Linked DNA regions of Lonchura striata. The protein of the gene in region 2 interacts with the protein of the main gene of each other region in a pairwise test. Links are inferred from orthologs where the notes say so. Each region holds a gene or a part of one and is shown on either strand. Other genes may lie near its edges. The genes, in order: RABAC1, PLEKHF2, SETBP1 and MEAF6.

Evidence for each region.
Region 1: the proteins of PLEKHF2 (region 2) and RABAC1 interact in binary tests that used the Homo sapiens proteins (3 or more experiments, as listed by UniProt). The two-hybrid records come from large-scale screens. The link is inferred for Lonchura striata from reciprocal best matches to the Homo sapiens genes PLEKHF2 and RABAC1.
Region 3: the proteins of PLEKHF2 (region 2) and SETBP1 interact in binary tests that used the Homo sapiens proteins (3 or more experiments, as listed by UniProt). The two-hybrid records come from large-scale screens. The link is inferred for Lonchura striata from reciprocal best matches to the Homo sapiens genes PLEKHF2 and SETBP1.
Region 4: the proteins of PLEKHF2 (region 2) and MEAF6 interact in binary tests that used the Homo sapiens proteins (3 or more experiments, as listed by UniProt). The two-hybrid records come from large-scale screens. The link is inferred for Lonchura striata from reciprocal best matches to the Homo sapiens genes PLEKHF2 and MEAF6.

The regions. Positions count from the first base shown.
Region 1 is NC_134639.1:279,189-287,064, forward strand, and holds the start of RABAC1 (prenylated Rab acceptor protein 1), read right to left. Parts: upstream 3,177-7,876; coding exon 3,106-3,176; intron 1,756-3,105; coding exon 1,558-1,755; intron 193-1,557; coding exon 101-192; intron 1-100. UniProt on the Homo sapiens protein: General Rab protein regulator required for vesicle formation from the Golgi complex. May control vesicle docking and fusion by mediating the action of Rab GTPases to the SNARE complexes.
Region 2 is NC_134603.1:23,857,328-23,865,574, forward strand, and holds the start of PLEKHF2 (pleckstrin homology domain-containing family F member 2), read right to left. Parts: upstream 3,092-8,247; 5' UTR 2,979-3,091; intron 2,765-2,978; exon of another isoform or gene 2,585-2,764; intron 1-2,584. UniProt on the Homo sapiens protein: May play a role in early endosome fusion upstream of RAB5, hence regulating receptor trafficking and fluid-phase transport. Enhances cellular sensitivity to TNF-induced apoptosis.
Region 3 is NC_134642.1:45,897,546-45,905,163, reverse strand, and holds the start of SETBP1 (SET-binding protein), read right to left. Parts: upstream 3,399-7,618; 5' UTR 3,181-3,398; intron 1-3,180.
Region 4 is NC_134628.1:4,680,720-4,688,100, reverse strand, and holds the start of MEAF6 (chromatin modification-related protein MEAF6), read left to right. Parts: upstream 1-4,130; 5' UTR 4,131-4,152; coding exon 4,153-4,248; intron 4,249-4,361; coding exon 4,362-4,477; intron 4,478-4,554; coding exon 4,555-4,642; intron 4,643-5,209; coding exon 5,210-5,255; intron 5,256-5,783; coding exon 5,784-5,976; intron 5,977-7,103; coding exon of another isoform or gene 7,104-7,128; exon of another isoform or gene 7,129-7,381. Other genes in the region: SNIP1 (smad nuclear-interacting protein 1), read left to right, coding at 1-220.

The DNA.
Region 1 (7,876 bases), on a different chromosome or scaffold from region 2:
GTCCATCCCAGTTCCCTCCCAGTTCCCTCCCAGTCCCTCCCAGTAACTCCCAGTCCCCTCCCAGTCCCTCCCAGTATAAACCAGTCCCTCCCAGTCTCACCCAGCAGCACCAGCGGCGTCTCCCGGGCCCGGAGCCGAACGGCGACGCCGAAAAAAACCCCGAGAGCGACGAGGAGCAGCGGGGAGCTCAAACTGGGAGAACTGGGAGTTACTGGGAGCACTGGGAGCTCAAACTGGGAGCACTGGGAGGGACTGGGAGCACTGGGAGCTCCAACTGGGAGCACTGGGAGTTACTGGGAGCACTGGGAGCTCCAACTGGGAGAACTGGGAGTTACTGGGAGCACTGGGAGCTCCAACTGGGAGCACTGGGAGTTACTGGGAGCTCAAACTGGGAGCACTGGGAGGGACTGGGAGCTCAAACTGGGAGCACTGGGAGGGACTGGGAGCTCAAACTGGGAGCACTGGGAGTTACTGGGAGCACTGGGAGCTCCAACTGGGAGGGACTGGGAGCACTGGGAGCTCAAACTGGGAGCACTGGGAGTTACTGGGAGGGACTGGGACAAACTGGGACAAACTGGGACAAACCGGAACAACGCCACAAAACCCCCCAAAAATTCCCAAAAATTCCCAAAAAATTCCCAAAATTCCGCAAAATTCCCCAAAAATTCCCGAATTCCCGAAAATTCCCAAATTCCTCACAGGCAGCAGGCCAGCAGCGCCAGGAACAGCAGCAGGGAATTGCTGGGGAACAATGCCCCAAAAATGCCAAAAAATCCCCCAAAAACGCCCTGAAACCCCCCAAAATCGCTGTAGAACCCCCGAAAAATTCCCCAAAAATTCCCAAAAATTCCCAAAAATTCCCAGAATTCCCGAATTCCTCAGAGGCCGGAATTGCTGGGGAACGATGCCCCAAAAAACCCCCAAAAAATCACAAAAAATCCCCCAAAAACGCCATTAAACCGCCCAAAATCGCTGTAGAACCCCCGAAAAACTCCCCAAAAATTCCAAAAAAATTCCCAAAAATTCCCATAATTCCCGAATTCCTCAGAGGCCGGAATTGCTGGGGAACGATGCCCCAAAAAACCCCCAAAAAATCACAAAAAATCCCCCAAAAACGCCCTGAAACCCCCCAAAATCGCTGTAGAACCCCCGAAAAATTCCCCAAAAATTCCCAAAAATTCCCAAAAATTCCCGGAATTCCCGAATTCCTCACAGGCAGCAGGCCAGCAGCGCCAGGAACAGCAGCAGGGAATTGCTGGGGAACAATGCTCCAAAAATGCCAAAAAATCCCCCAAAAATGCCATTAAACCCTCCAAAATCGCTGTAGAACCCCCGAAAAATTCCCGAAAAATTCCCAAAAATTCCCAAAAATTCCCAAATTCCCAGAATTCCCGAATTCCTCAGAGGCCGGAATTGCTGGGGAATGATGCCCCAAAAAAACCCCAAAAAATCACAAAAAATCCCCCAAAAATGCCATTAAACCCCCCAAAATCGCCGTAGAACCCCCGAAAAATTCCCAAAAATTCCCAAAAATTCCCGAATTCCCGAATTCCTCACAGGCAGTAGGCCAGCAGCGCCAGGAACAGCAGCAGGTAGTTGCTCTGGAACCTCTCGGCGTTGTGGCCCAGGCGCCGCCAGAGCTCCCCCAGATTTTGGGGGACCCCGAAGCGCCGCTGGTCCAGGAAGGAGCCCCAGGGCCGCAGCCCCGCCCGGCGCGCCCCCAGCCAGCGCCAGGCCCAGCCGGGGGGGGACAGCCTGGGGGACCCAAAATCGCCAAAATTCACCCCAAAATCCAGCCCAAACTAACCCGAAAAACCCCGGCCCCAAAACAGCCCAAAAACACCCCAAAACCGCCCCAAAATCCACCCCAAAATCCACCCCAAAATCCACCCCAAAGCTGCCCCAGGGCCCCCAGCCAGCGCCAGGCCCAGCCGGGGGGGACAGCCTGGGGGACCCAAAATCGCCGGAATTCACCCCAAAATCCGGCCAAAACTAACCCGAAAAACCCCGGCCCCAAAACACCCCAAAAACACCCGAAACTGCCCCAAAATCCACCCCAAAATCCACCCCAAAATCCACCCCAGGGCCCCGAGCCAGCGCCAGGCCCAGCCGGGGGGGGACAGCCTGGGGGGGACCCAAAATCGCCGGAATTCACCCCAAAATCCAGCCCAAACTAACCCGAAAAACCCCGGCCCCAAAACAGCCCAAAAACACCCAAAACTGCCCCAAAATCCACCCCAAAATCCACCCCAGGGCCCCGAGCCAGCGCCAGGCCCAGCCGGGGGGGGGACAGCCTGGGGGGCGACCCAAAATCGCCAAAATTCACCCCAAAATCCACCCCAAACGAACCCAAAAAACCCCGGCCCCAAAACACCCCAAAACCCCCCAAAACCGCCCCAAAATCCACCCCAAAATCCACCCCAAAATCCACCCCAGGGCCCCGAGCCAGCGCCAGGCCCAGCCGGGGGGGGACAGCCTGGGGGGGACCCAAAATCGCCAGAATTCACCCCAAAATCCCCCAAATCCCCCGAAAATTCCACAAATCTCCCCAAAATTCCCCAAATCCCCCAAAACTCCCCAAAATTCCCCAAATCCACCCAAATCTCCCCAAAATTCCCTAAATCCCCCAAAACTCCTCCAAATCTGCCAAAATCTCCCCAAAATTCCCCAAATCCCCCAAATCTCCCCCAAATTCCCCAAAATTCCCCAAATTTCCCCCAAATTCCCACAAATCCCCCCAAAAGTCCCCAAATCCCCCCAAACTCTTCCAAATTCCCCAAAATTCCCCAAATCTCCCCCGAATTCCCCAAAATCCCCCAAATCTCCCCCAAATTCCCACAAATCCCCCCCAAAATCCCCAAATCCCCCCAAAACCCCCCAAAATCCCCAAATCTCCCCAAAACCCCCCAAAATCCCCAAATCCCCCCAAAATCCCCAAATTCCCCCAAATTCCCCCAAATCCCCCCAAAACCCCCCAAAATCCCCAAATCCCCCCAAATCCCCCCAAATCCCCAAATCCCCCCAAATCCCCCCAAAATCCCCAAAATCCCCAAATCCCCCAAATCCCCAAATCCCCCCAAATCGCCCCAAAATCGCGCCCCTCACCTGCCCAGCCCCCCCCTGGGGTCGCTCTCGGCCCCCGGCGGCTCCTGGGGGGGGGGCGCGGCCTCGGCCATGGCGGCGGCTTTGGGGAGAAACCGCGCGGTTTTGGGCAATTTGGGAAATTTGGGGAGAAACCGCGCGGTTTTGGGAATTTTGGGGAGAAACCGCGCGGGTTTGGGCAATTTGGGGAGAAACCGCGCGGTTTTGGGCAATTTGGGGAGAAACCGCGCGATTTTGGGCAATTTGGGGAGAAACCGCGCGATTTTGGGCAATTTCGGAAATTTGGGGAGAAACCGCGCGGGTTTGGGCAATTTGGGAAATTTGGGGAGAAACCGCGGGATTTTGGGCAATTTGGGAAATTTGGGGAGAAACCGCGCGGGTTTGGGCAATTTGGGGAGAAACCGCGCGGGTTTGGGCAATTTGGGAAATTTGGGGAGAAACCGCGCGGTTTTGGGCAATTTGGGGAGAACCGCGGGGTTTTGGGAAATTTGGGGAGAAACCGCGCGGTTTTGGGGGGATTTTGGGCAATTTGGGGAGAACCGCGCGATTTTGGGAAATTTGAGGAGAAACCGCGGGGTTTTGGGCAATTTGGGGAGAAACCGCGCGGTTTTGGGCAATTTGGGGAGAAACCGCGCGGTTTTGGGAAATTTAAGGAGAAACCGCGTGGTTTTGGGAAATTTGGGGAGAAACCGCGGGGTTTTGGGCAATTTGGGGAGAAACCGCGCGATTTGGGGGGATTTTGGGCAGAAACTGCGCGGTTTTGGGCAATTTGGGAAATTTTGGGGAGAAACCGCGGGGTTTTGGGAATTTTGGGGAGAAACCGCGCGGTTTTGGGAAATTTGGGGGATTTTGGGAAATTTGGGGGATTTCGGGGAATTCTTAAAGGTTTTTGGGGTCGTTTCGCAGATTTTGGGTCCCGCGGGGGATTTGGGGTCCCGGAGAGAATTTTTGGGGTTAAATCTGCAGATTTCGGTCCCGCAGAGGATTTTGGGGTCCCGGGGGGATTTTGGGGTTAAATTCGAGGATTTGGGGTCCGGGGAGAAATTTTGGATTAAATCCGCGGATTTTGGGTCCGGGGAGGATTTTGGGGTTAAATTCGCGAATTTTGGCGTCCCAGGAAGGATTTCGGGGTTATTCCGCTGATTTTGGGGTTAAATCCGGTGGTTTTGGGGTCCCGGAGAGGATTTAGGGGTTAAATCCGTGGATTTTGGGGTTATTCCGCTCATTTTGGGGTGAAATCCGCGGATTTTGGGGTCCCGGGGGGATTTCGGGGTTATTCCGCTGATTTTGGGGTGAAATCCGCGGATTTCGGGGTCCCGGGGAGGATATCGGGGTTATTCCGCTGATTTTGGGGTGAAATCCGCGGATTTCTGGGTCCCGGGGGGATTTCGGGGTTATTCCGCTGATTTTGGGGTTATTCCGCTGATTTAGGTGTTATTCCGCTGATTTTGGGGTGAAATCCGCGGATTTCGGGGTCCCGGGGAGGATTTCGGGGTTATTTTGCTGATTTTGGGGTGAAATCCGCGGATTTCGGGGTCCCGGCGAGGATTTCGGGTCCCGGGGAGGATTTCGGGGTTATTCCGCTGATTTTGGGGTTAAATCCGGTGGTTTTGGGGTCCCGGGGAGGATTTCGGGGTTATTCTGCTGATTTTGGGGTGAAATCCGCGGATTTCTGGGTCCCGGGGAGGATTTCGGGGTTATTCTGCTGATTTTGGGGTTATTCCGCTGATTTTGGGGTGAAATCCGCGGATTTCGGGGTCCCGGGAAGGATTTCGGGGTTATTCTGCTGATTTTGGGGTGAAATCCGCGGATTTCGGGGTCCCGGGGAGGATATCGGGGTTATTCCGCTGATTTTGGGGTGAAATCCGCGGATTTCTGGGTCCCGGGGAGGATTTCGGGGTTATTCCGCTGATTTTGGGGTTATTCCGCTGATATCGGGGTTATTCCGCTGATTTTGGGGTGAAATCCGCGGATTTCGGGTCCCGGGAAGGATTTCGGGGTTATTCCGCTGATTTTGGGGTGAAATCTGCGGATTTCGGGGTCCTGGGGAAGATTTCGGGGTTATTCCGCTGATTTTGGGGAGAAATCCGAGGATTTCGGGGTCCCGGGGGGGATTTCGGGGTTATTCCGCTGATTTTGGGGTGAAATCCGCGGATTTCGGGGTCCCGGGGAGGATTTCGGGGTCCCGGGGAGGATTTCGGGGTTATTCCGCTGATTTTGGGGTGAAATCCGCGGATTTCGGGGTCCCGGGGAGGATTTCGGGGTTATTTTGCTGATTTTGGGGTGAAATCCGCGGATTTCGGGGTCCCCCCGCCCCCGTTTCCATGGGAACCGCCCCCCCTCACCTGAGCCCGGAACCGCGGGAACGCGTGGCGGGGGCGGGGCCACGCAATGACGTCACAGTGGGTGGGGCTACCACCGTATGCAAATTTGGGGGCGTGGTTATGTCCATATATGGTTGTGGGCGTGGTCTAGACGCGCGTTTGCGAATTTTAACGAGGTGGGCGCGGTTTAACTGCCAGTATGCAAATTAATGGGCGTGGCCACGCCTTATATGGCAATGGGGCGGGTTGTGGGAGGGGCTATGCCCTTATATGGATATGGCGGAAGTTCGGGCTCCGTTTTGGGGGGGGAAAAGGGGAATTTTGGGGGCGAAACGGGATTTTGGGGAGAAAAAGGGGATTTTGGGGCAGAAGAGCGGATTTTTTGGGGGAAACAATTGGGTTTTGGGGGAGAAAGGGGAATTTGGGCAGTGAAAGGGGGAATTTTGGGGTAAAAGGATTTTTTGGAGGTAAAGGGGATTTTGGGGGGAAAGGGGGAATTTTGGGGGGAAAAGAAGATTCTTGGAGAAAAAGGGGATTTTTGGAGGGAAAAGGGGAATTTTGTGGGGAAAGGGAATTTTTTGGGGGGAAAAGGGAATTTTTTTTGGGGGGAAAAGGGGATTTTTTGGGCGAGAAACGGCGTTTTGGGGTGCAGAAAGGCCATTTCTGGGTAAAAAAGGGCGATTTTGGGGATAAAGGGGGGGAAATCGGCGCTGTGGGGAAAAGCGGGGTTGATTTGGGGCAAAAACAAAAAAAAAAACGGAATTGGAGGGTGAAGAAAAGAATCAAAATTTCCCAGCCCCCTCCCCAAATTCCCAGCCCCCTCCCCAAATTCCCAGCCCCCCCCCATCCATCACCCGGCGCCGCCGAATGCAAATTCCCCAAATCAAAACATTTTACTCGTAAATGGGCCCGAACTAATTAACTCAAGTGTTAATTAACGCCGCGCCGCCGCCGCCATCCATCTTCGGGGGGGGGGAGGAATTGGGGAGGGGGGAGTTGGCGGGGGGGGAGGGAATGGATGTGGGGGGGGGAGATGGTTTGGGGGTCCTCGAGTTGGGTTTGGGGGTCCCTGACCCGACTTGGGGGTCCCTGGGGGGATTTTGGGGGTCCCTGACCCGAATTTGGGGGTCCCTGGGGGGATTTTGGGGATCCCCGGGCGGATTTGGGGATCCTCGAGTTGGGTTTGGGGGTCCCTGACCCGACTTGGGGGTCCCTGGGGGGATTTTGGGGATCCCTGACCCGAATTTGGGGGTCCGGGGTTGCTTTTGGGGGTCCTCGAGTTGGGTTTGGGGGTCCCGGTGTTGGTTTTGGGGCTCCCTGACCCGATTTGGGGGTCCCTGACCCAAATTTGGGGGTCCCGGTTTGGCTTTGGGGGTATCCGACCCCTATTTGGGGGTCCCAGGATTGGTTTGGGGGTTCCCGGGGGGATTTTGGGGGTCCCAGAGGGAATTTTGGGGGTCCCCGGGGGGATTTTGGGGGTCCCTGAGGATGGCGGGAGTCCTTGGGGCGATTCTGGGGGTCCCGGAGGGAATTTTGGGGGTCCCCGGGGGTGTTTTGGGGAGGGGTCTCTCGGGGGTGGGTTTCCCCGTCCTCATCCCCGGGGGTTCCGATCCCGGGGGTCTCGCTGCCCCCCCGGTGCCCCCGGGGACCCCAGCCCCATTTCCCCCCGGTGCCCCCAACCCTTCCGGGGACCCCAGCCCCATTTCCCCCCGGTGCCCCCAACCCTCCCGGGGACCCCAGCCCCATTTCCCCCCGGTGCCCCCAACCCTCCCGGGGACCCCAGCCCCATTTCTCCCCGGTGCCCCCGGGGACCCCAGCCCCATTTCCCCCCGGTGCCCCCGGGGACCCCAGCCCCATTTCCCCCCGGTGCCCCCAACCCTTCCGCGGACCCCAGCCCCATTTCCCCCGGTGCCCCGGGGACCCCAGCCCCATTTCCCCCCGGTGCCCCCCAACCCTTCCGGGGACCCCCAGCCCCATTTCCCCCCGGTGCCCCCAACCCTCCCGGGGACCCCAGCCCCATTTCCCCCCGGTGCCCCCAACCCTTCCGCGGACCCCAGCCCCATTTCCCCCCGGTGCCCCCAACCCCCCAACCCTCCCGGGGACCCCAGCCCCATTTCCCCCCGGTGTCCCCAACCCTCCCGGGGACCCCAGCCCCATTTCCCCCCGGTGCCCCCCAACCCTCCCGGGGACCCCAGCCCCATTTCCCCCCGGTGCCCCCGGGGACCCCCAGCCCCATTTCCCCCCGGTGCCCCCGGGGACCCCCAGCCCCATTTCCCCCCGGTGCCCCCCAACCCTCCCGGGGACCCCAGCCCCATTTCCCCCCGGTGCCCCCGGGGACCCCAGCCCCATTTCCCCCCGGTGCCCCCGGGGACCCCAGCCCCATTTCCCCCCGGTGCCCCCAACCCTCCCGGGGACCCCAGCCCCATTTCCCCCCGGTGCCCCCAACCCTC
Region 2 (8,247 bases):
AGTCTCAATCAAGCCACTTCTCATGTGTACAGACTCATTTCCACTTGACTCATTCTTGCAGTCCTGAATTTGCAGGACTCTACTTGCTAATGTAATCATATCTTACAGTTCACAACAACAATAAAGCAATCTTTAGTAAACATATTCTACCACACCTATCTATAGAGTACTTTTTCATCCCCCTCAACTATAAAAACAAGTCCTCCAATGAATCATGAAAAATTATCCTACAACACCAAACTTGGCACTTGCTGCATTAGGGAGAAAGTTTTTAATACATTTTTCTATTTCAGAAATCCACATTTGCCTGTAAGTACTCTCTTTTGGAATATCATACTTTCATCTAAATACTGAATTAAGTCAGGAAAGTAGTAAAATATACATATATAAGCATGATCTGTAACTTAAAAAAAAATTAAATGGAAAAAAGTAAGCTTGAATATTAACACAGCTTGAAATAAGTCACAAAAGCGCCTTTACGATTTGAAGCTGTACAAAACAAGGTTTCATTTCCTAGTACAAAAATCAAAAATTTTTTATTTTTACCTACCATCTTCTAAGAATCATATTATTTGTTAGTACTGAGATTTCCTTATTTGACATCGCCCATTAATAAGCGCAAAAACTGGCATGCCATTAGTCTGCTAGGACACAACTTCCAACATTTTATCTAACATACATTTTCAGAAAATGAGGTCTGCAAGTACTAAAAAATTCAACTCTGCCTTATCTATGTGCCATGCCTTGACCCTAAGCTTTCACTTAAACACCTCTAGCCCTCTTTGGCGAAGACAAGCCACTAAAAATGCTGTAAGTGTATGACACCAGTGTTCGTATTCTGCCATAACGGCTCTCATGGGGCTTTTGGCAATGCTCTGTCATATCATGCCTCACGTGAAATTGCAGTTCCATCTCTTTACTGCTCTGAAACTATCCTGCATCCACTAAGCACAATAGTGAAACTTAAAAGTCACCATACCTTTTGAGTAGAGCAAATATTTTACCAATGATAATTTTTGTAAACCAAAGCGCTTTAAGATACTATGGATAGATCTGTCACTCTGGGGACATGTCTATTTACTATGGTTAAAGCTCATCCCTTGACTTAAGGGTAACAGAACAAAGCTCTTACTGAAAAAATATTTCATCACTGCATCTAATGAAAGCTTGCTTTTCAGGTGAAAAGATGGTATTCTCTTTCTACAGAATACAACGGTGGAAACTGAACCAGCTTCTCCAGCTAAAAATTTCTACATAACAGTTTTTATTTAGTGTTTAAGGAACTTCCTCTATGTGGGCTTGTATGTAGAGCAAAACTCAGACACATCAAACGGCACACAGCTGATTTGCATTCAGAAGGAAGAATTTGGGACTCAGGCATACAACACTTCACTTTCACTGTTGTTTTCAACAAAATTGGTGGCACTAAAACACTTGGAAAAGTATTATTTAAGAAACTGAGCTAATATAAAAGACATTTTACAACACTGGGATTCCTATTACCCATTGGGATTAGTCAACAGTTTTTAGATTAGAGGCTAAAAGCAAGAGCACTGCCTTCTGAGCTAAAGAACCAATTCCATTCTGCATGCTGATGACGGCACACAAAGCAATTAATCTGCAGGATCTCAGCACCGATTACACTGCTGTCTTTTAAATACTTCCCTTCTTTCAGACAGGCATCCCTAAAATAATTCAATAGACAAGTATCAGAACTTAAGATCTGGATATTTAAGTTCTCCTTATTTCATGAGAGAAAGAGGAATTTGCAGTCTCGGTTCTGAAAGATTCCTGTGTTGTGGGTCTGCTTTTAGAGTCACTTTGCCTACTGTATTAACCTCATCTGACCTTAAGCTGTTAGGCACATTGAAGCTTCAGATATAGTGTTTCTCAAATAAGCATCAACCCTTTCAGAAACTCTTAGCACAGCCTGAGGACAGCCTGAATTAGAACTTAATGATGCTTCTGGAACCATTTGCATCAATTCAGCCAAAAGACGATTCCTGATCTCTGGTTAAGGATATAAAAGGTCCTCTTGGCTATCAACAACCATTGCACTGATGCTTTATGTCAAAACTCGAGTTACAGCTATTTCCCTCAGTAGGGACAAAGCCGATGCCAGGACGTGCTGCTCAGCAGAATCACCCATCGCTTTCTCGCCGCGATGAGCAGTTTTGCCATTTATAAACATGAGTGCCTATGAACAAAGTATTTCGAATGAGGCGAGAGGAAAAACATGCGGCTGTCTTTTCTCGAGCTACTTTCAGAAAACAGTTTACGGGCCATACGTATCTCTGGCAGACCTGTTACACTCCCCTCAAAATAGGTGAATTTCATAGAGGAAAACAAATAGCACCTTATGCTCGCAGCCGCACGGCTCGCGGTTCCGCTGTTTTTTCACAACAGTGCCAACACTTTTCAGGCGCCCCGCTCCGAGAGCGACACGGAGCCCCCCGGGCCGCCAAGGCTCGGGGCAGCGCGGCCCCAGCCCGCCGGGGCAGGAAGCGCCCTCCGCCCGCCCGCCCGTCCCGCCGCCTCACGGCGCCCCGGCGGAGTCACGAGTCCAGGAGTTTCGGGCACTTACGTAACGCCGCGGGGCCGCCGCCGTTGTTGTTTCTCCCCTTTCCCGAAGACGAACTCGTTGCCGAGAGCCCCCAACTCTCTCAGTGCCCTGGGACAAGCTAGCGCCCGCGGCCGACGCTTCCCTCCCCGGGTCCTGCCCGCCCCGCCGCCTGCCTCCCTGCCGGCGGGACGCGGCGCTGCCCCAGCCCCGGGCGGGACAGCGGAGCCCAGCGCCGCCTCCCGCCGGGGCGCTCCTTCCTCCCGGGCAGCCCCCGGCTCCCAACATGGCCGCGAGAGAGCGGCCGGAGTCCCGGCGGAGGAGGGCTCCGCGAGGAAAGTTTCCCTCTCGCTGCCCGGCCGGCCCCGACCCAAGCCATCCCCGAGCGCCCAGAACGCGGCCGGACAGCGCTGCTCACCCGGCACACCCCGCTCCGGCCGCCGCCTGCCCTCCCCGCCGCACGGCGCGGTCATACACCCCACGCCGTGGGACGGGCTCCGGGACACCGCCCGGCGGGGCGGGGCCGCCGCCATCTTGGGCGGGAAGGAAGAGCGGCCCGGCCCGGCCCGCGGAGCGCCCTGGGCGGGAGGGCGGAGCGGCCCGGCCCGGCCCGGCCCGCGGGCGGCGCCTCGTGGGAGCGGGAGGCTGCCGGCTCCCCACCGACCTCCTGCGGATGTTTGAGAGACGTTCTTTGTGGGCGATCGCGGGTCTGTGTGCGCGCCCGTGGCTCTAAGTAAGCTCGCCCAGAGGTAATTCAGGATGGGCACGTTTTTAAGCACTTCTCTCTACGCAGCACATGGAAGGGAATTAGTGACATGTTTCAGTCTGAGGAGTTGTTCGTCAGCCTAGAAGAGTTTCCACCAGAAACGCTGTCAACACAAGGAGCCCCTTCCACCTTCTGTGTCAGAGTTTTTTGTGTGTACACATTGAGTCATCCAGAGCAGTATTTTTCAAATCTAGCCGGCTGCTCGGCAGCTCACCTGGTCCTCCAGGATTTCCAGCCGATGATGGATGCTGTCAGAGGGGAAGGGTGGCTGGGAAGGTTCTGAAGAGAGTGGAGCAAGAGGAGATAAAAGGGTACAGCACCATTAACTTCGATGGTGTTGCTCTGATACTAAAGTCTGCACTGGAAAATGGCCCAATGGGCTGCCTTTTTTTTTTTTTTTTTTTTTTCTCCCCAAGAAAATTTCACTTACATGCTATATGGCAGTTTCATTTTTCAAATTTCACATTATTGAGCAATACCATGTCTGGCTTTTCTGCAGATTAAAAATAGGTAGTGGGGCTTTCCAGTAGAAATCATGAAACTGCTGAACTTTCAGCTGAATTTTCTTCCCCAGCTCAGACAGGGACACAGGCAAGAGCCACATCACTGAGCTGCATTTCTCCTGCTGCAGAAGAGGCACACAGAAAGGGAGCAAGGAGCAGGACATGGAGCTCTGAGCACCCTACAGCATGACAATCTAGTCTTCCAGTTTTCCCTCAAATCCATCCAGTGCGTCAGCCTGAGCTGTCATGTAATTACTCTTAATGCACTGATTTATATAAGGTGTGGGCCAAGCCGTTTAACATGAGTTTTTTGGAAACAGGTGCTTGTGGCTTAAGCCACAAATCTCAGATTGCATGCAGCAGGGTGTATTAGGCCAGTGCTTCATATGTAAAGAATTCGGGCACAGCCAATATATAAATTGGCCACAAGTGTCTTCATTTTCAACTGTTGTCAGTTGCAGAGAGATCTTCACACCAGAGGATCTTTTATGTATGGGCTGGCCTGGTTCTTGTGAACCAAAAAGAAAATTGCTGTGAACCTTTCTCTTTGTGTTGTAAACTTCTGTAGATTTAACTTATCATCTAAATCAATTTTCTTGGCATCAGAAGCAGCTTTGTGGGTAATTAACTTTTCTTTCATGCTTACAAATAATTTTATAACACCCAGTTGAATTAAGATGCAGCAGAAAGTTGGATACAGGCAAAGTGAAGCAGTCCTAGTGTTTCTGTCTGCGTATCTGTGTTTTAATTCTCTTCCTGAAGTGCAAACTGACATTGTTTTCTGAAAGGTTTACAAAGTGTAACAGCAGTGAGATGCTCTTTCTACCATGTATAGTAATGGAAAATCAGCACAAGACCTTAACTCCGGTTAAGAGAATAAGTAACCTGTTGTCTGAGGAAAGCTGGAAACAAAATGTTATCATGCAAAGCAATTTTAGTGCTGTGAAAGCCTGCCATAATTTTTTTCTGTTAACTTCCTATATCTTCAGAATTCTTTTTTTACTCTGTTTAGCAAGAGGGGAAAATAAATATGAAAACGGTCCGTTTGCAAATCCGCAAACACTTCTTCCTAAGTATGTATAAAAAAAGTAAACACTTGACCTAATTTTTAAGTAGTTTTGAAAAACTTGGCTAAATGCCAGTAATTCTTGCTGTGTGTTCACTATATCAAAATGTCATTACAGATCATGTGTGTCAGTTTCAATAGAGTTTTTTGTATTTATCTATCTTTGCTCTTACATGTCAAATTTGTATCTTAGTACTGCAGAAGCAATCTTGCAAAAAACTAACTGCATAGAGAAGATGCATGGAAGGAAAAGGATGGGAGATCATGGGGTGTTCTACTGGAAGAAATAGACACTAATGTATTTTACTATTTCACATAGAGTGATTATTTGTAATTTTAATTTAGCTGAAAAAAAACTTATTCCAAAGCATAGCTTGTCTAAAATGACATTTATTTCTGCTCTCTAATTATAATCTTACTGTCAGTTATGCCAGAGCTGTGCTTTAAGTGTGGAGGAAATACCTTCTTCAGAAAATATGAAATAGCAGTGATACGCTGCAGCACTTGTCTTATACTGTGCTTCCTCAATTGCCTTATGATTTTTGAATGGACACTGTTTGCACACAGCTTGCATTTTCACTTCAAATCTTCACAGGGATCACATGAAAATTGAAGTAAATCTGTCTGATGTTGAGCTAATGCAAATAGTTGTTTCAGTAAGATTTTTACTTCAACATATCAGTGAGACATTTACACTATTTATGAAAGCTTCCAATAATGGACTATCTACAACTCCCTTGGCTTACAGGTTTCTCTCAAGCAATTTGAAAATTGCTGTGAACCTTTCCTTTGTGCTGACATTGAAATTCTGATGGAACATTATTGAGGTTGTAGCTTTGTTTAATATACAAAAATGCTCCAAAATTTTCAGCACTGTTGAATGGGGGTTTTTTTAGCAGTAGTAAAACATAGTTTTAAGAAAATTAAAAAGCAGTATTTTAAGAAATGATGAAAACCAGCATATATGTAGGTTCAGAGATTTACTGTCAAGTGAGATTATTCTTTAAAAGTGGCTTGCCTTTAAAAGCTGCAGTTGGAGATTTTTTTTCCTTTAGAGTTTCATGTACAATGAATTACCTACTGGTAGTCAACTGTAATTTGCTTCATGGAAGCCCACTTGTCTCTCCCACAAACTGTTTTGTTTTTTTTTTTCAAATGCTCAAGAATCAGTTTAAAAATTGACAGAACTTGCAATTAGAACCTTGCAGTCTTTGTTGTGCTTGAGCTAAAATAAGAATCTGTCCACTTCTTACAGAGGAGTAACAGCCGAGTTCTGTGTTACAAAATGAAATTCCTAGAGATTTCATTAACATTATATATTTTTGGTCAGCAAAATTCAGTCATGTTATATTCAAATGGGACTTTAAATGCTTTGCTTTCAGTAACTTCAGAAAGTATTACAAACAATGAAAAGAAAATCTTTGTCTTTTGCTTCTTTATGAAATGAAATATATTTTGAAGCAGCAGCATCTTGGTTTTTCTAGTAGATGGTAATGCAGAATACCTTCCCAGCTTTAGGTTACTTCTTTAGTACCTGCAAAGGGAGACCAAACCCAGAAATTTAAAGCTATTTAAGGGACAATTAAATGCTTTATTCTCAAATCTTGCCTTTTGTGAAAACGAGAATGAATATGCAGAACAGGTGATTTCTAAGTTATCCTGGTCTCAGCTTCTGCACTGGAAGTTTGTTTGGCTCCACTGTGTTGTACCCACCCCTCTTGGTATGTCACAGCTTTTGGATGTGTCCTTCTGGGATGTTACTATCTCTTCTCAATGTTTTGTACATTATCCTCTTTATTAATTTCATTTGCTGCCTTGTTGAATTGTGTAGGAGCCCTTTTTGACTTTTCTCACACTTTAGCTGTTACTGCTGTGTTTGTTATCCATGAAGTGTTTTGCTAAGGAGAGCTGTGTTCTTTAGGGATGGGGGTTATAATAGACACTTTTCCATTAAGATTTTTTCTTGTGTGATTTTTTTTTTTTTAATTGCAGAGACTTCCTATTCTATGGTACACCAGGGACTGGAAAGACTCTGGTAGCTTGTGCAGCTGCTAATGAATGTAGCCAGGGTAACAGGGGAGTAATCTTTTTTATGAGAAATGGTGTCAACTGCCTGAGTGAATGGGTAGGAGAATGTGAATGAAAGTTTCATTCATTATTTGAGTAAGTAAGATTGAAACATGCCACATGTTCTGTCTGAGTTGTAACTAATTTTCTGTGGTCAAGAAGAAATTCTTTTTCATGTTTTGTCAGGTCCTTCCACTGAAATGGGACTGTCGGTGTTTCCTTTTCCAGTGGGGTCTTGGGGGTCTGGAAATCTTGGGATGTATTGGGAAATATTAATAATGCAAACAAGAATATTTTGCAAAGCACCACCATCCCCCTCAAAAAAACTCCAAACTAACCAGTTCCAGTGGTCTTGTAACCATGTTTTTCATGTATTTTCCCTTACAAACAGTGCTGTTTTCCTGATATCAGTGTTCCTGTTTTCTTTGTAGGCCTACCAGATGTGACCTTCAGTTCCTGAATGAGATCAATGTTCTTGCTCCCATACACACCAGCAAACAAAACCAGGTTCATAGGTGGTTAATGTCTTGTCATCAAGACATGTCCCAAGACACGTCATCAGGAAGGTGCTTGATCTTTGTGAAAAGAAGACCACAACCTACTTAACTTGCTGTGACACCTTCGTTGAACCTGAGAAGTAGTAATTCAGTGCTAGTGAATTTCAGATTATTTTTAAATGAGAATTTAAAACAATTCACTAAGCTTGAAATCAGCCTAAGCTCTGTATTGTATTATCTGTATTTAATGTCTTAAAATGAGGCTTTTGCAAATCAGCATCTTTTCATTAAAAGCTTGTCCTTTTTGAGGGATTGGTGGAAATGGTTATGTGGAACTGAAGAAAATTTACTAAACCAGTGAATGAAAATCGTATTTTTCTTTTACCTCAGTTGTTGGAACACTTCTGGCACTAACGGATGGCTTTGCCAGCGGAAAGGTTGTGGTAATGAGATCCCATTGTGGCAGAGCCATTTCAGGATGGAGGATGACACTCATGGAGGAGCCACCACCATTGCAATGGTTGCATTGCCTTGGTGTTGGGTCCATTCTTGCTTGCATGCTCAAACTCTTTGCAGAAATCAGAAGCAAATCAGTGCCTCCTGCTGCACACCCTATTCCTGCAGCGGTACCATACAGGACTTCCTGCTGAGCCCCACCTTTGTGTCTTCCAGGAGCTCACCTGCAAATTTTCTTCAACTTCCGGATTTCTCATTCCCACAATATCTTCCATAAAGATCTGCACCCAACCCAGCTTTCCCACACCAGCACTCTGTGTCTCTTGGGGACT
Region 3 (7,618 bases), on a different chromosome or scaffold from region 2:
TGAGCAAGTAATTCCTTGAGTTAAGTAAGCACACAGCCACAGCAGTTTTTATACAAGAACAGTTCCCAGCATAATCAAAGTACAATATTATTGAAAACAATACAAAGCAACTTCGGTAAAGAAACCAGTATATATCAAATCAAGCTAAATAGCTCAGTTATGACCATTATTATTAATAAATCATGGCCACTGTTTCTTTTGTTTGCCAACAACCAGCATAGCTTATGGCTCTGCACAAACCTAACACACCATTTTATAGCATTTCAAAAAGTGCATCCTCCTAAAATGATAATGTGTTAATAATCTGTGCTGGGCTTTTTGGCAGGAATCAAAAAGCTCAAACGACTTGAAATAACATCAGCTAAAAATTATTTATTCCCCATCCCTAGTTGCAGAGAAAACAGAGGTTTTCTTGGCTCAGTTACTTCTCAATAGACTTCTGGTTTCAATTAAAACTTTGAGTCTGAGAAGTTTAAAAAAAAAAAAGTTGAAGCCAATAAGAGATGGAAGAGAAGTCTCCATTCACTGAGTGTTTCTGCTTTTGTTTTTTTTCCTATTTTTACATAACCCTTCTGAGCTAAGAGGCTAAGAGCACAGATTAAAGTACAAGTCCATTGTGTGGATGTTTTTTTTTTTTTTCTCCTTTCAGCTAAAAAACAAATTAAGATGAAAAAAAGTTTCTCCTTTGAGTGCAAGCAGCTTCTGATGAGGGGCATAATCTCAGCAAAGACTGAGTAAGTGCAGAAAGCTGTGCATAAAACTGACACTTTAACATTTTCCCATGAATGTGTCCAGTCCCTGGAAATGTTCAAAGACAGGCTGGATGGGGCTTAGAGCAGCCAGATCTAGGGGAAGGTGTCCCTGCCTTGAGGGAAAATGTGACTGGGATGAGATGAGCTTTAACATCCCTTCCAACCAAAACATTCTATGATTCTATTATTCCCTGATAAGAATATTTTTTTGCTGTCCATAAAATAGGGTCCACTTGTTTCCTCAGGTTCATGCTGTCGCTACTTGTCTCTACGCACCTGATAATGCCATTTCTGTAGCCTGCACCAAGTCAATCCTGCATGCAGGGGCTTTCAAACCAGTAATCGTTCCCATTTGGACCCATAATATTCCACACAGGACTAGATTTGCCAGTAGCCTTTTCCTCCTTCCATCCACACCAGGAGGCTCAGATGTTCTCACGCACAGCAGATCACTGACCAGTTCTGCCCTCTCCTCTCCCCACTCTTCTGCATCTCTTTGCTGTGTGGCAGATGGACATAGAAGGACACCCCCACCCCAGAGTGGGGCCACTGCGGGCCTGTGGCTAATGAAACACCTCTGTACACCGGTGGAACAGCCTGCCAGGCTCCCCTCCCCTCCTCCCTTCGTCCTCCCACTCCCCCCAGAGCCCGGTTGGGTTAACCCGGCTCACGGCAGCCGCGGGGACACCGCCACCCCACGGTACCGGAATGAGTGGGTACTCCCCTCGTATCTCCCCTCGCATCCCCCGTGTGCATCCCCCATGCACCAGCCACCTCATCACCCCTCCCGAAGCCAGGGGAACCTGCCCACTGGGGGTGTCCGAGTCGGGGTGTGCCCTGTCTCCCCCCGCCTCCCCGGGTTGGGCTCCGGGCGGCCAAGTGCCTTTTCAGCATCAGGCGTCAGGCCCGGGATTATCGGGGCCGTTTATTTGAAGCGGAAACGAATCGGAAATCCTTCTCTCAACTGCTTTTTGGAGACATAAATACAGCAGGAAGGGGCAGCGCGGGGAGCGCCGTGCCCGGTGGGGCGGTGGGATGCTGGGATGCAAACACACGGACACGCTCACGGCTGACACACACACTCACTCACACTGACACACGTTCCCACCTGGGGATTCAATAAGGGGTGCGGGAGACCCCAGTTCCCCTTGCCCTCCGGGGAAACCCGGCGAGGAAGGGGTGTGAGTGTGAGTGCGAGTGCGAGTGCCCGGCGCCGGGCAGGAGCCTTGCGCCAGGGCTGGGGTTGACAATAGCAGCCCGAGGTTGCGGGCTTCGTGTTACCCCCTCTTCCCCACATCACCCCGCAGCCCGACGATACCGGCGGTGTTCAGCCTGCCCATAGCTGAACTCCGCGTCCGCCCGTTGTGGGGCACAAGGGGCCATCAGGGTCCCGAGGGCGGCAATCACCGGCTGATTAAGAACCATTATCCAGCCACCGAGCGTGGTGGGGGTGGCGGCAGAGGGGGTGTCCCTCTTTGCTAATTACTACCCCCCCACCCCGTCCTCCCATTTCGTTGTTCCCCAAAATCGCAGCTTTTCGGGGCTGCGTGTCCTTTTCAATGTCAAAAGCACGGCGGGGCCACCCCGGGGCAGCGGCGCCCCCCGGTTCACCCGCGGAACGCGGCCGCGGAGCCCCGTGCACACACACGCTCACACTCACACTCACACACACACACACACACACACACACACACACACACACACACACACGCAAATCCCCATAAGGTTACAGTGTTGCTCTCTAGCTCCACTTAACCTGCAATTTACGAAGCGGGGGGGTCGTGTCTCCCCCCCCCAGTTTCCACAGGCACACACATAGCAGCCACCTACGCATATAAACACATGTAGGCTACCAAAGCGGGGGGCCGGCAGAGGGGGTATATGGCGGGGGTGCGGGGGAAATAAATACATTATTCAAACTCCTGAAAAAAATTCCAACCCCTTCCTAGTCTTACACACACCACCGGTACCCCCCACCCCACGAGAGCCACACACAGATACGCACACATGATCCTAAACAGGCACAAAGCATGGGGAGGGAAGGGGTTGGAGGGGACGGGGAAGAGGATTCGCATGCAATGCACAGAGGAGAAATATTCCCCCCTCCCCCCCCAAAAAAAAAAAAAAAATAAAGCCCTTTTCCGCGCCATTGCAAAGTCATAACAGAGAGGAGGGGAAAAAAGAGAAAAAAATAAAGTAAAAAAAAAAGGGACGACATTAACTTTTGCATGCAGAAGGGCGAAAAATAAAAAAAAAAAAAATAAAAAAAAAAGGAGGGTGAAGGAAAAGGAGAGAGGCGTACGATCCTCCTGCAATCCCGATCATTAAGGCAAACCTTTCCTCGATGCCTCAGAATTTTGGTTCCCTTTTTTTTTTTTTTTTTTTTTTTTTTTTTTTTTTTTTTTTTTTTTTCCCCGCATTTACTAACCCATATCCCCAAAACGGCAGCGGGGGCTTCTTAGCAGCTTCCTCTTCTTCTTCCTTCTTCCTCCTCCTCCTCCTCCTCCTCCTCCTCCTCGGATTTCCCCCCTTCTTGTCTCTTCTCTTTTAGATCCCGGTTTCAATCCCTCGCCACAGCCCCCAAAGGTGCTTTTGCTTGTGTTGCGGCAAACCCATGGCGGTGTTCATCTGTCAGATGGGGATGAGGGGAGCGCCCGGCCGCGCAGCGCACGCAGAGCGCAGAGGGAGGAGGGAGGGGGGAGGAGGAAGGCACCGGGGAGAGGGAGATGGACGGACAGACAGACGGAGAGACAGCTCGAGAGATAAAAGATAGATAGAGAGGGATAAATAGAAGGAGATAGAGCGAGAAAGGGGGGAAAATGGCGTCTTGGAAAGCCGGAATCCCGGAGTAAATCAAATTGACACGCAACACCCAGAGCAGTCCCGGCTAATTTTAGCAGGATCCAAAATAAAATGAAAAGGAAAAAAGGGGGGTGAGTAGGAGGAGAAGGGGGGGACAGAGGGGCGGGGGGTGAAAGAAAGGAGGAGGGGGTAAGAAGGAAAAAAAAGAGACCAAAAAAAAAAAAAAAAAAGAAGCCCCTCAATACTGGATGAAATCCTGGATTTGAAATCGATGGAGCTGGTCTCCAGCTCTCTCTTTTTTTCTTTTCCTTCTTTTAATTTTTTTTTTTTTGAGGGGGGTCTCTTTTGCTCTCTGCTTCTTGTTCTTGGTTGGTTGGGAGCCTTTTTGCAGGGGGGCGAGGTTGCGGGGAAGCCTTTTCGGTTTTGCTTTTCCCGGCGAGGAGTTTCAAAAATATTAAAAAAAAAAAAAAAAAAAAAGGAAGAAGAAGAAGGGAAATTAAAAAAAAAAAACAACCGATGAAAAAAAAAGAATAAAAGAAAGAAAAGGAGCAAAGCCCCGCCAGGAGAAAAGGGCTGCTTGGCGGCGGCGAGGAAGCTTCCCTTTATCCCTGCTCTCCCTGGGCTCCGGAGCGGGTGCCGGAGCTCCGGCGGGCTGCGGGGCTGCGGCCGCCCGCCCCGCTCCGCTCCGCTCCCCCCGCGCCGCCCCGCGCCGGGCCGGGGGAGGGCGAAGGGAAGGCGGAGGGAAAACACCCCCTTCCCCTGATGGGGCCGGAGTCGGTGCTCGCACACTCGCACAACACACACACACACACACCCGCATCCCCTTCCCCGCTGAGAAAGGGTGCGCCGAGGGGCGGCTTTTTGCTCCCCCGCTGGATTTTTCCTTTCTCTGTCTTTTATTTTGTCTTTTTGGTCTGGTTCCCCCCCCTCCCCCCTCCTTTCCCTGCAAGGGGCGGCGATTTGGTTAAGCAGATCTGGGGGGCTGATGTCTCTCTCTTTCCTCTGTTTCCATCGCTCCCGGAGTATTGCAGCACTGGGGGCGGGGGGAGGAGGAGAAGTGTGGGGAATAAATGGTAATGATCAGGCACGCACACACACACACACACGCACACACACACACACACACACATACACACCCGCTCTCACACACACTCACACACGCAGACACGCACTCGGCGTGGCTGCAATGCTCAGCTCCGGGTTAATGTACTCAACAGTGCCACTACCTGACACAACTGCAGCACTGATGGGGGCAGGGGAGAAAAGGCAGAGGAGGTGAGATTCAGGGCAGGGCCATTTATCCCATTTATCCCACTTCAAGCTCAGTCTCTCCCACGCCCTCCCAGCCGCCCCCCGCCAGCCCCCCATATGCTTTTGGCGGCGGGCTCGTGACCCGTGTGAGGCATTTTTGGGGGACAGTTACTGCTGTTCAGGCCACGCTGAGAATTCCCTCTCTGGGGCTGGACGAGATAAGCAAGGACTCTTGACCCCTAATTTAAGGTCTAAATCCACTCCCCCACCTCCATCACCTTTCAGAATGGACCAGTAGCAATGTACAAAATACAACACAAACTCAGCTGCAGGCCAGTGGGGAGCGGTGCGAAATCCACATTGTTGGGCTTTTTCTTTCCCACCCTTGCTCTGCCAGCAATCTGGATGATACTGCATTTTGGTCTGCCAGCTGGGCATACCTTTACTCACATGAGTAAATTGTTGGCTTGCCTGAGATGATGAGGAGGAACCCCCAGAGGAGGAAAGACTTGTGAAATGGAGCTGTGGAACTGTACTTATAAATGAAGATAACATTCCAAGGGCAGGAGGGGGAATATAGGGAGTATCCTACTGTGTTCCGCTGCATGTTTGATCCCTTGCAAAGATGGTGCCACAGGGTTCCCTGTCCCAGTGTGCTGCAGGAGGCTCAAAGAACATCAAGTCTCCCCTCTTTGCTCTGGGACAGAGGGTGGCTTCAGGCCATCATCCTGAGTGACCTGAATTCAGTGTGCAGCTGATGCAAGGGTTGACCCTTACCTGCCATGGAAGCTTATTCATACATCATAGAATCTTAGAATTTTTTGCCTTGGAAGGGATGTTAAAGATCTTGTCCCACCCTGTGCCATGGTCCGGGATACCTTCCACCACCCCAGGCTTCTCCAAACTCCCATCCCACTTGGATTTGGGCACTTCCAGGGATGGGGTAGCCACAGCTTCTCTGTGGCCAACAGCCAGGGCCTCGCAGCCAAGAATTTCTTCCTAGTATTCAATCTAAACCTGCCCTCTTTCAGTCTGAAGCCATTCCCCACTCCAGTCCCTTGTAAAAGTTCTTTTCTAGCTCTCTTGGAGCACCTTTAGGCCCTAGAAGGGGTTCCCTTATAAAGGCCTTCTCTTCTTCAGACTTGAAAGCTGCATCTCTCTCACCCTGTCCCTTTAGGAGAAGCAACAGACCTACAACACAGGTTGCAGTCTAACCCCAAATAGGTGGAAGAAATTTGTGGGCCCCAAGATGCCAGCACAGCCCTCCTGGACCATCAGCAGACTCAGTCACCTGGGTGAGTATGTGCCCTCAGCCCTGCTGCATTCCTGGGAAAAAATCTTAAGTAAAAACCACACCAAAGCATCACTTCCCTTTGGATCTCTCCATGTGGCTGACATCCTCCAAGATACGTACAAATCCCAAACATCTGAGCTGAGGTACAGCAGCCTGTGCCTGTCCTTCCCTCATGGTCTTTTCCTCATGCTTCTCTCCAATAGGAGAAAACAGATGAATTGGTAAAATACACAAGAAACCTCCAAAATGACGACCAACAGATCAACCCCATCTCCATCCCAAACAAACATGCGACTCACAACTCTTGGATCGGGAATGTCACACTGAAATCGTTGGCATTTCTGATTGAAACCAAACAGGGATTGTCATTTCCAATCCGCTCTTTGACATGGAAGAGAGGCTTGTTTGTTCAAATTAAATCACCCAACTGGAGCTACATTTTGTCATTTTGTATCTAAACAAAAGGAAAAAGAAACAGATTCAACATTTCTTGGCAGAGCTGGTGGTGACATTTCCTGTGAAGAATTCTGGTTTTGAAATGAAAACTTTTGGCAGGTGAACTCTGTATCAAAGAGCTCCGCTGACCATCATCTTTCTCCTTGGAATAAGCTGACAAACAGTTATGAAATAATTGGCATGATTAGATTAACACAGAAAACCTAATTATGGAATCAAATACTCAAAAAAAAAAAAAAAAAAAAAAGAGAGAGAGAGAAAGGGAAAAAAATTATCACATTTGCTTCCCCTTTTCTAGAAAATAATATTTTTATTATATACAGTAAATTTAGGATAAAAAGTATTCTGTGAGCCTTTTCTCTTTTTATTTTTAATTTATTTACTTCTGGAGAGGATACATATACATAAACAAATGTATTTAAACAGCCCCACAAAAAATAATTTCAAAGTGAGTTCAACTTAGGAAGCAATAGAGATAATGGCTTATTTAATGCTCACTTTGAAAACATGGCAGAATATAAAGAAATAAAAAATACTCAGACCTAGCAAAGGGAGTTTGTGATTCACCCAAAGTTATTTTTAGGCCTGTTATGTATAAATTTAAAAACAAAATCACACCTGGTTACTTTTACTTGTGGGCATCAAATTCTGTCAGGATAAATTTCATAAACAGAAAAAGACCCATCCTTTTGAGTGGTCATTGTGTAGGACACGTGTGCATAAATCACTGTGGATCAGCACTGACATCAAAGGTATTCTGACCTGTGATTTTGTCTTCTAGTTCTAGAAAATTTTCCCTCTTTTAAACAACCTCCTCCCTCTGTCTCTGCTGTGTGTCAAGGATTTCAATCTAAGTGGATAATCTCAAAGAGGAAGTTTCTCCTCTTTGTTCTTTTAACTTTAAAAAAAGTATGATGGCATTCATAAAGTTGGTTTAGTTCTGCAGCAGACCTGAGATGAGTTTCCTATTTGTGCCTAACAGTCTACATATAACCTTGACTTCATGAGACAGATGTTTTGTAGTGAAGGACATGAGTTTCTTATTTTTATATAAATAGCATAT
Region 4 (7,381 bases), on a different chromosome or scaffold from region 2:
GAGGCCCTACATCATCGACCTGGGCTCGGGGAACGGCACCTTCCTCAACAACCAGCGCATCGAGCCCCAGCGCTACTACGAACTGAAGGAGAAGGATGTGCTCAAGTTCGGCTTCAGCAGCAGGGAGTACGTCCTGCTCCACGAGTCCTCAGATAAATCTGAGGCCAACGCCAAGGACGATGATGAGGATGAGGAGAAGGAGGAAGAGTCTGACAGTTAACGGATGAGGAAGAAGCAGGGGAGAGGCAGAGGAGAGAAACTCCTCGTGGTTGAACGGGACTGGGATGTGAACACGGAGCATTGCAGCACTGATGCCTCTTGTTGCCTTAAAGTCTTTTCTGTGTTGCTGGTCTGTTCCCATAGTTTGTTTTGGGGGGGCTTTGCTCGTTATTCGTGTTTGATAGTTTTGCATATCAGGAAATACAGCTTTATTTTTATTTTATTTTTCTCCCAAGAAGCCGAAGAGCACCTGGATGTGAAAACTCTGGTGCTGGAAACCCTCCACAGATGTTGTCAGACTCTTCCAGCAAACCATGTCAAACACGGACAGCATCTGGAAAATTTTTATGACTTGTTTTGTTATATCCCTTTGAAAATGCTACAGACTGAAAGGTTATAGAGTACCTGATGCTCGTTCTTTTCCGTAGCTTGCCAAATTCCTCTGCCTGTTGGGAGTTCTGACAGGAGAATTTACCTGAATCACTGCTAAAATGGCAGAAATGTGCAAAGACCCTCATGAATTTGTATGTTTTGGGTATCTAATTTGCCTCATGGTTACTGAGGGATGGGCATTTCACTGGAATTCCACCTAGGAATCACAAGGGAATGTGAAACAGAAGTTAAATAATTCCTGGAATTTCAGGTGATGAGACTGTGACCCAAGTTCCCTGTTCCCACACATGATGCTGAAACTGTCCTGGATGTGGAGTGTCTGGGTTGTAAGCTAGAGCCCTAATTTCTACCCCCACCCCAGGGTTTGTGTCAGACAGAAACGCCTGTGACAGGGTGACGTGTTTTAACCAGTTTGCACTATTTAAGTTCTCTTTTTATAAAAACTTCCCCAAGTCCTTTGTTGAGCACAGTGAAGAAGTCAGTGTTCAGGGAGGAAGCACCAGTCCCACTCAGTGGGAGCTGCAGTTTTTGGTGTCTCCTCCAACGTTGCTTTATGTTCAGTGTGTATATCCCACCCTTCACTGATTTCACCTGGGTGTTTGTGGTCTCACCTGTTCGTCCCTGCTGTGTACAGACTGTACACAAAGGTGCTTGTTGTACACATTGACAGTGTAAATATGGGGCATTGCTGTGGGGTTTCAGATGGGTAGGATGGGGTTTGAGCAGGAGGAGCTCCTTTATATCTGCTCCAAGGGTTTTTAAATAAACAATTTGTAAATTTAGCCATGATTGCTTTCTGTTGTAATATTTTTCATTGGGTGTTTGGGGGAAAAAATGGGGGAAATGGCAATTTTTGGGAAAAAATTGTGGGAAATGGGATTTTTGGGAAGGAGTGACAGCGCCTATCAAAAGATTTGTTAAGCTCCGAATGGGAGGTGCCAGAATTGCTGTACTGCAAAAGGGCAAACTGGCCCCCAAACTGCAGAGGATCGGAGCGACACAGTTTAATAGGATCACAGAAAGGTTTGGGTTGGAGGTGTCAGGAAAACTAACCCACACCTGAGGGTTATGCCCAAAAAAGAGACAGAGGAGTCCTGGAACTTTATTCCAATAAAGGGAGAGGCCATGGGGCATTTCCCATCGAGTCTCTCAAGTTGTTAGAGGATGAAGCCTCCTTTTTATCCCAATTTCTCAGCCACATTTCCCTCTCTCTTTCCCCACTGGCTGAGGTATTTGAGAGGTACAAACTTCCCAATACAGACCCCCTTCTAATGTATACCCCCACCTTTTCCTTGTCAGTCAGTGGAATTCCTATAGAATCAATGCTTCTTCCCACTACTTCTTTCATCTCTCAATATCCAATTTTATTTATCAGCAGACCCACAGTAGATCTGTAAACACAAATCCCTCTCATTCCATTCATCAATCAGTGAAATCCCACTGCTGCTTTTACCTCAGCGCTAGTTTTACCTCCCCACAGTTGGTTTGTAAAGACAAATCCCTCATTGCTTTCAGAGGGACCCTGAAGACTGCAGAACCGGGGAATATGTGAATATCTGAATAGGGGAATATCTGAATATCTGAACTGGGGACTGTCTGAATGTCTGAACCGGGGAATATCTGAACTGGGACTACCTGAATCACTGGGTGGGCAGAACCACCGACCGTTCCCATTCCCATCGCTGCTGTCGCCACCACGTCTCTGTGGCTGTCTCTGTCACTGTTGCCGCTGCTGTCGCTACCGCTATCTCTGTCCCTGTCCCTGTCTCTATCCCTGTCCCTGTCTCTATCCCTGTCCCTGTGCCTATCCCTGTCCTGTCCCTGTCCCCATCCCTGTCCCTGTCTCTGTGTCCCCGTCCCTGTTCCTGTCCCTGTGTCCCCATCCCCATCCCTGTCTCTATCTCTGTCTCTGTCCTCTCCCTGTCCCTGTCCCCTGCCTCTATCCCTGTCCCCGTCCCTGTCCCTCTCCCTGTCCCTGTTGCTGCTGCTGTCGCTATTCCTGTCCCCGTCCCTGCCTCTGCCCCTGTCCCCTGTCCCCATCCCAGCCCCTGTCCCTGTGTCCCCGTCCCTGTCCCCCGTCCCTGTCTCTGTCTCTATCCCTGTCGCCGTCCCTGTCCCCATCCCTGTCTCTCCCCATCCCCCGTCCCTGTCCCTCTCCCCGTCCCTGTCTCTATCCCTGTCCCGTCCTCGTCCCTGTCCCTGTCTCTGTCTCTATCCCTGTCCCCGTCCCTGTCCCTCTCCCCGTCCCTGTCCCTCTCCCAGTCCCTGCCTGTATCCCTGTCCCAGTCCCCGTCCCCGTTCCTCTCCCTGTCCCTGTCCCTGTCTCTGTCTCTATCCCCATCGCTATCCCTGTCCCCGTCCTTGTCCCCGTCCCTGTCCCCATCCCAGCCCCTGTCCCTCTCCCTCTCCCTGTCCCCGTCCCCCGTCCCTGTCCCTCTCCCTCTCCCCGTCCCTATCTGGGTCCCTGTCCCCGTCCCTGTCCCCGTCCCCGTCCCCGTCCCTGTCCCTGTCTCTGTGTCTATCCCTGTCCCCGTTCCTGTCCCTGTCCCTGTCCCTGTCCCTGTCCCTGTCCCTGTCCCTGTCCCTGTCCCTGTCCCTGTCCCTGTGTCTATCCCTCTCCCTGTCCCTGTCCCTGTCCCCGTCCCTGTCCCTGTCCCTGTCCCTGTCTCTGTCTCTATCCCCATCGCTGTCCCCGTCCCTGTCCCTGTCCCTGTCCCTGTCCCTGTCCCCATCGCTGTCCCTGTCCCTGTCCCTGTCCCCGTCCCCGTCCCTGTCCCTGTGTCTATCCCTGTCCCTGTCCCTGTGTCTATCCCTCTCCCTGTCCCTGTCCCCGTCCCTGTCTCTGTCCCCGTCCCTGTCCCTGTCCCTGTCCCTGTCCCTGTCCCTGTCCCCATCGCTGTCCCTGTCCCTGTCCCTGTCCCTGTCCCCGTCCCCGTCCCTGTCCCTGTCCCTGTCCCTGTCCCCGTCCCTGTCCCCGTCCCTGTCCCCGTCCCTGTCTCTGTCCCTGTCCCTGTCCCTGTCCCCGTCCCCGTCCCTGTCCCTGTCCCTGTCCCTGTCCCTGTCCCTGTCCCTGTCCCTGTCTCTATCCCCGTCCCTGTCCCTGTCCCCGTCCCTGTCCCTGTCCCTGTCCCCGTCCCTGTCCCCGTCCCTGTCCCCGTCCCTGTCCCTGTCCCTGTCTCTGTCTCTATCCCCATCGCTGTCCCCGTCCCTGTCTCTGTCCCTGTCCCTGTCCCTGTCCCTGTCCCTGTCCCTGTCCCTGTCTCTATCCCCGTCCCTGTCCCTGTCCCCGTCCCTGTCCCTGTCCCTGTCCCTGTCCCTGTCCCTGTCCCTGTCCCTGTCCCCATCGCTGTCCCCATCGCTGTCCCTGTCCCTGTCCCTGTCCCTGTCCCTGTCGCCGCTGCTGTCGCTGCCGCCGCCTCCCCCGCGCTCCCGGCTCCGCAGCGCCCCTGGCGGCCGCCCGGCGCCGCCGCTCCCGGCTCCGCAGCGCCCCTGGCGGCCGCCCGGCGCCGCCGCGCCCCGCCCCGCGCAGGCCGCGCCGCCATGGCCGCGCTGCACGCCAAGGCCGGCGGGCCGCCGCAGATCCCGGACACCCGCCGGGAGCTGGCCGAGCTGGTGAAGCGCAAGCAGGAGCTGGCGGTGAGCGCCGGGGCCGGGCTGGGCGCGGGGCGGGCGGCGGCGGCGCGGCCGGGGCGGCGGCGGGGCCGGGCGGCGCGGCCGGGCCTGCTCCATGCGCGGCGGCGTTCCCGCAGGAGACGCTGGCCAACCTGGAGCGGCAGATCTACGCCTTCGAGGGCAGCTACCTGGAGGACACGCAGATGTACGGCAACATCATCCGCGGCTGGGATCGCTACCTCACCAACCAGAAGTGAGTGGCGGAGGCGCTGCCCGCCGGCCCGGGTCCCCCGCCCGCCGGCCCCGCCATCCCGCCTGTCTCTGTTTCAGGAACTCCAACAGCAAAAACGACCGCAGGAACCGCAAGTTCAAGGAGGCCGAGAGGCTCTTCAGCAAGTCCTCGGTCACCTCGGCAGCGGTGAGTGCCGGGATGAGCCCTGACCGCTGTGCTCACCCCTCTCCTTATCCCTGGCCCCATCCCTTTCCTTGCCCCCATTCCTCTTCCTGTTTTTTCCCCATCCCTCAGTCCTGCTGTGATCACCTGCAGAATTACTTCCCCATTTGCAATCCCATCCCTGCCCTGGCTCCCTGCCCTAAGCATCCCCATCCCAGTCTCCATTCCCATCCCTTTCCTTGCCCCCATTCCTGTTCCTGCTTTATCCCCATCCCACCCCTGTCCCTTGGTGCCTCAGTCCCGCTGTGATCACCTCCAGAATGACTTCCCCATTTGCAATCCCATCCCTGCCCTGGCTCCCTAAGCATCCCCATGCCACCCTGCAGCCCCTTCCAGAGCCCTTTCCCAGTGTTTGGGGTGGGAGGGTGCCTGTGCCTGCTGTCACCGCTGTCCCCTGGCTTTGTCACCAGACCCCCGGTGCCACACGGGGCCATGGGCATCAGAGGGACGTGTCTGTGTGAGCTGGGCTCCATGCTTTGAGCACTGGGAAGTGAATCCCTGCTTGGCTTGACATCCCATTTGGTTTCCCAGGCTGTCAGTGCGTTAGCTGGAGTCCAGGACCAGCTCATTGAGAAGCGTAAGTCCCTTCATCACTTTTCTCTGAATTTGGGAAGAATTACACTGTCCCCCACCATTCAGCCCTGTCTCAGCCTTCCAGATCTGGGCTGGGGTCTGGCTCCCCTTCCCAATCCCTGTGTCTGCTGCCCTCGGGCTGCTCCTGTTGACTTCCCAAGTTCTTTCCAGGCTCAGAGGGCTTTGTTGTGTGTAAAAGGGACTGGAATTGCTTTGGTGCTGTGTGGAGGAAGAGGCTGGACGAGCTGAAGCACTGCATCTGTAGATGTGTCAGTCACAGGAGACCTGGGGAGGGACCACACACCCCCAGGACACTGAAAAAACGTTTTTGTGATCAGCACCAAAGGGGATGTAGTTCCTCAGTGCTGAGGAGCAGCTTCCTGTGTGTCCTGCAGGGCTGTGTCCCAGGCTCTGTGATTCACCTGGTGCTGCAGGGCTCAGGTGCCTCTGCTGCTGTGCTGGGGTTGTTTCTCCCACTCAGGGCTGTGCCAGGAGCTCACCCTGGTGCTCACCTGGCTTTGTCCTGCTCTAGGGGAGCCGGGCAGTGGCACAGAGAGTGACACTTCTCCAGACTTCCACAACCAGGAGAATGAGCCCAACCAGGAGGATGCTGAAGAGCTGGATGGCTCCGTGCAGGGTGTGAAGCCCCAGAAAGCTGCTTCCTCCACTTCCTCTGGGAGCCACCACAGCAGCCACAAAAAGAGAAAGAACAAAAACAGACACAGGTCAGTGGGACCAGCAGCCTGCTCACCACACCTGGACAGTTGGCTGGGGCTGGATTGAATTTATTGCCTGAGGGGAACCAGTAGCACGTTGGAATAACCAACAGGCAGCTGGGGTCAGTTGTTTGGGTGTTTTTCCTGGTTTTGGAAGAGGAGGGGAGAGTGCCAAGGAAGTTAAACAAGCAGCACAGGGTGCTCACTCCAGCTGTGGCACAGCTGTGCTTCTGGGCAGCTTCTCCAGCTCTTCCATCTCTCCAGGATAAAGCTTGTTCCTTCCATCAGGTCCTGACCTCCTGAGCTTGCTGCTTGGTTTCTGTAGGGCAGGAATGTTAGTGCTTTCTTTGAAGGAGGGTGGAAAGCAAATGGGAATATTTTTGGGGTTTTGGACACTCCCAGTGTCTGGATTTCCACTGCAGCCCCTTCCAGCTCTCACATCCCTATGGAGTCTCAGTGCTGGCATAGAGGAGTTGCTGTGTCACCTTCACCTGAGAGTGTTTGTTATTAAACTGACCTGAAATTTATGTGAAACAGATTCCTTGAACTCTTTTCTGGTTGGATTTACCTGTCCAGCTCTGCCCCTAAGGTGTCATGAGGGCGATGAGCTGGTCCCTGTGCCCTCAGCCCAGGCTCTGGCAGTGACAGTGCCTGTGAGTCAGGCCCTGAGGGAGGAAAGCTGAGGAGAGGAGATACATGGAGCTGTCTGGAAGGATTGCTGAAGCTGGGGCCTAGGGATCTCACAGAAGTAATGGAGCTTTTAAAACCCTCTAGTTTTAAAAGCTCTCAGAGCCAGTCTGTGCTGGCTCTGAGCTGTTGCCTCTGCCTAGGGACAGGCTCTCCTCTTTAAGGGACCTGCCATGCAATTAGAGAAAGGATTTAAAGTGGTAAAAGTTTAAAAGGGGGGCTGGGGTAGTTGGGGTGGGGACACGAGGTAGGTACAATGCTTGAAAAATGCTTAACTCCTTTTTTGCCTTCATTAAGTGTTGAGTCATTAGTGTGTCTTTAATTCTTGGGTCAGAATTTCCTTCCTACAGCAGCTTGAATTGGGCAAATATCCGAAAGGACTGGATGTCCCTTTGGTTCCCCATGGGCTGGGAATCCAAAGAAGTTCAAATCTCTTTTTTTGCCTGTAGATATTTGGAAGAAGTTCAGGAATAACACAAGAAACTACATCCGTGAACAAGTCCAGAGAAACAACCTGTAAAACTGAAGTACAGCTTAAGAAAACTGCCATTTCAAACAAATTATAAAATATTCTCCCTGGACAAACCATGGCCAACAACATGGTGGGGTGCAGGGCAGGTGCTGGAACTGACATAAATCTCTTTGCTCTGGTCCATGACCTGGACTTTAGGGACAGGAGCTGGGGGGAAGCTGCCTCCCAACAGGTTGTGTGGCTCTGGGTTCCTTC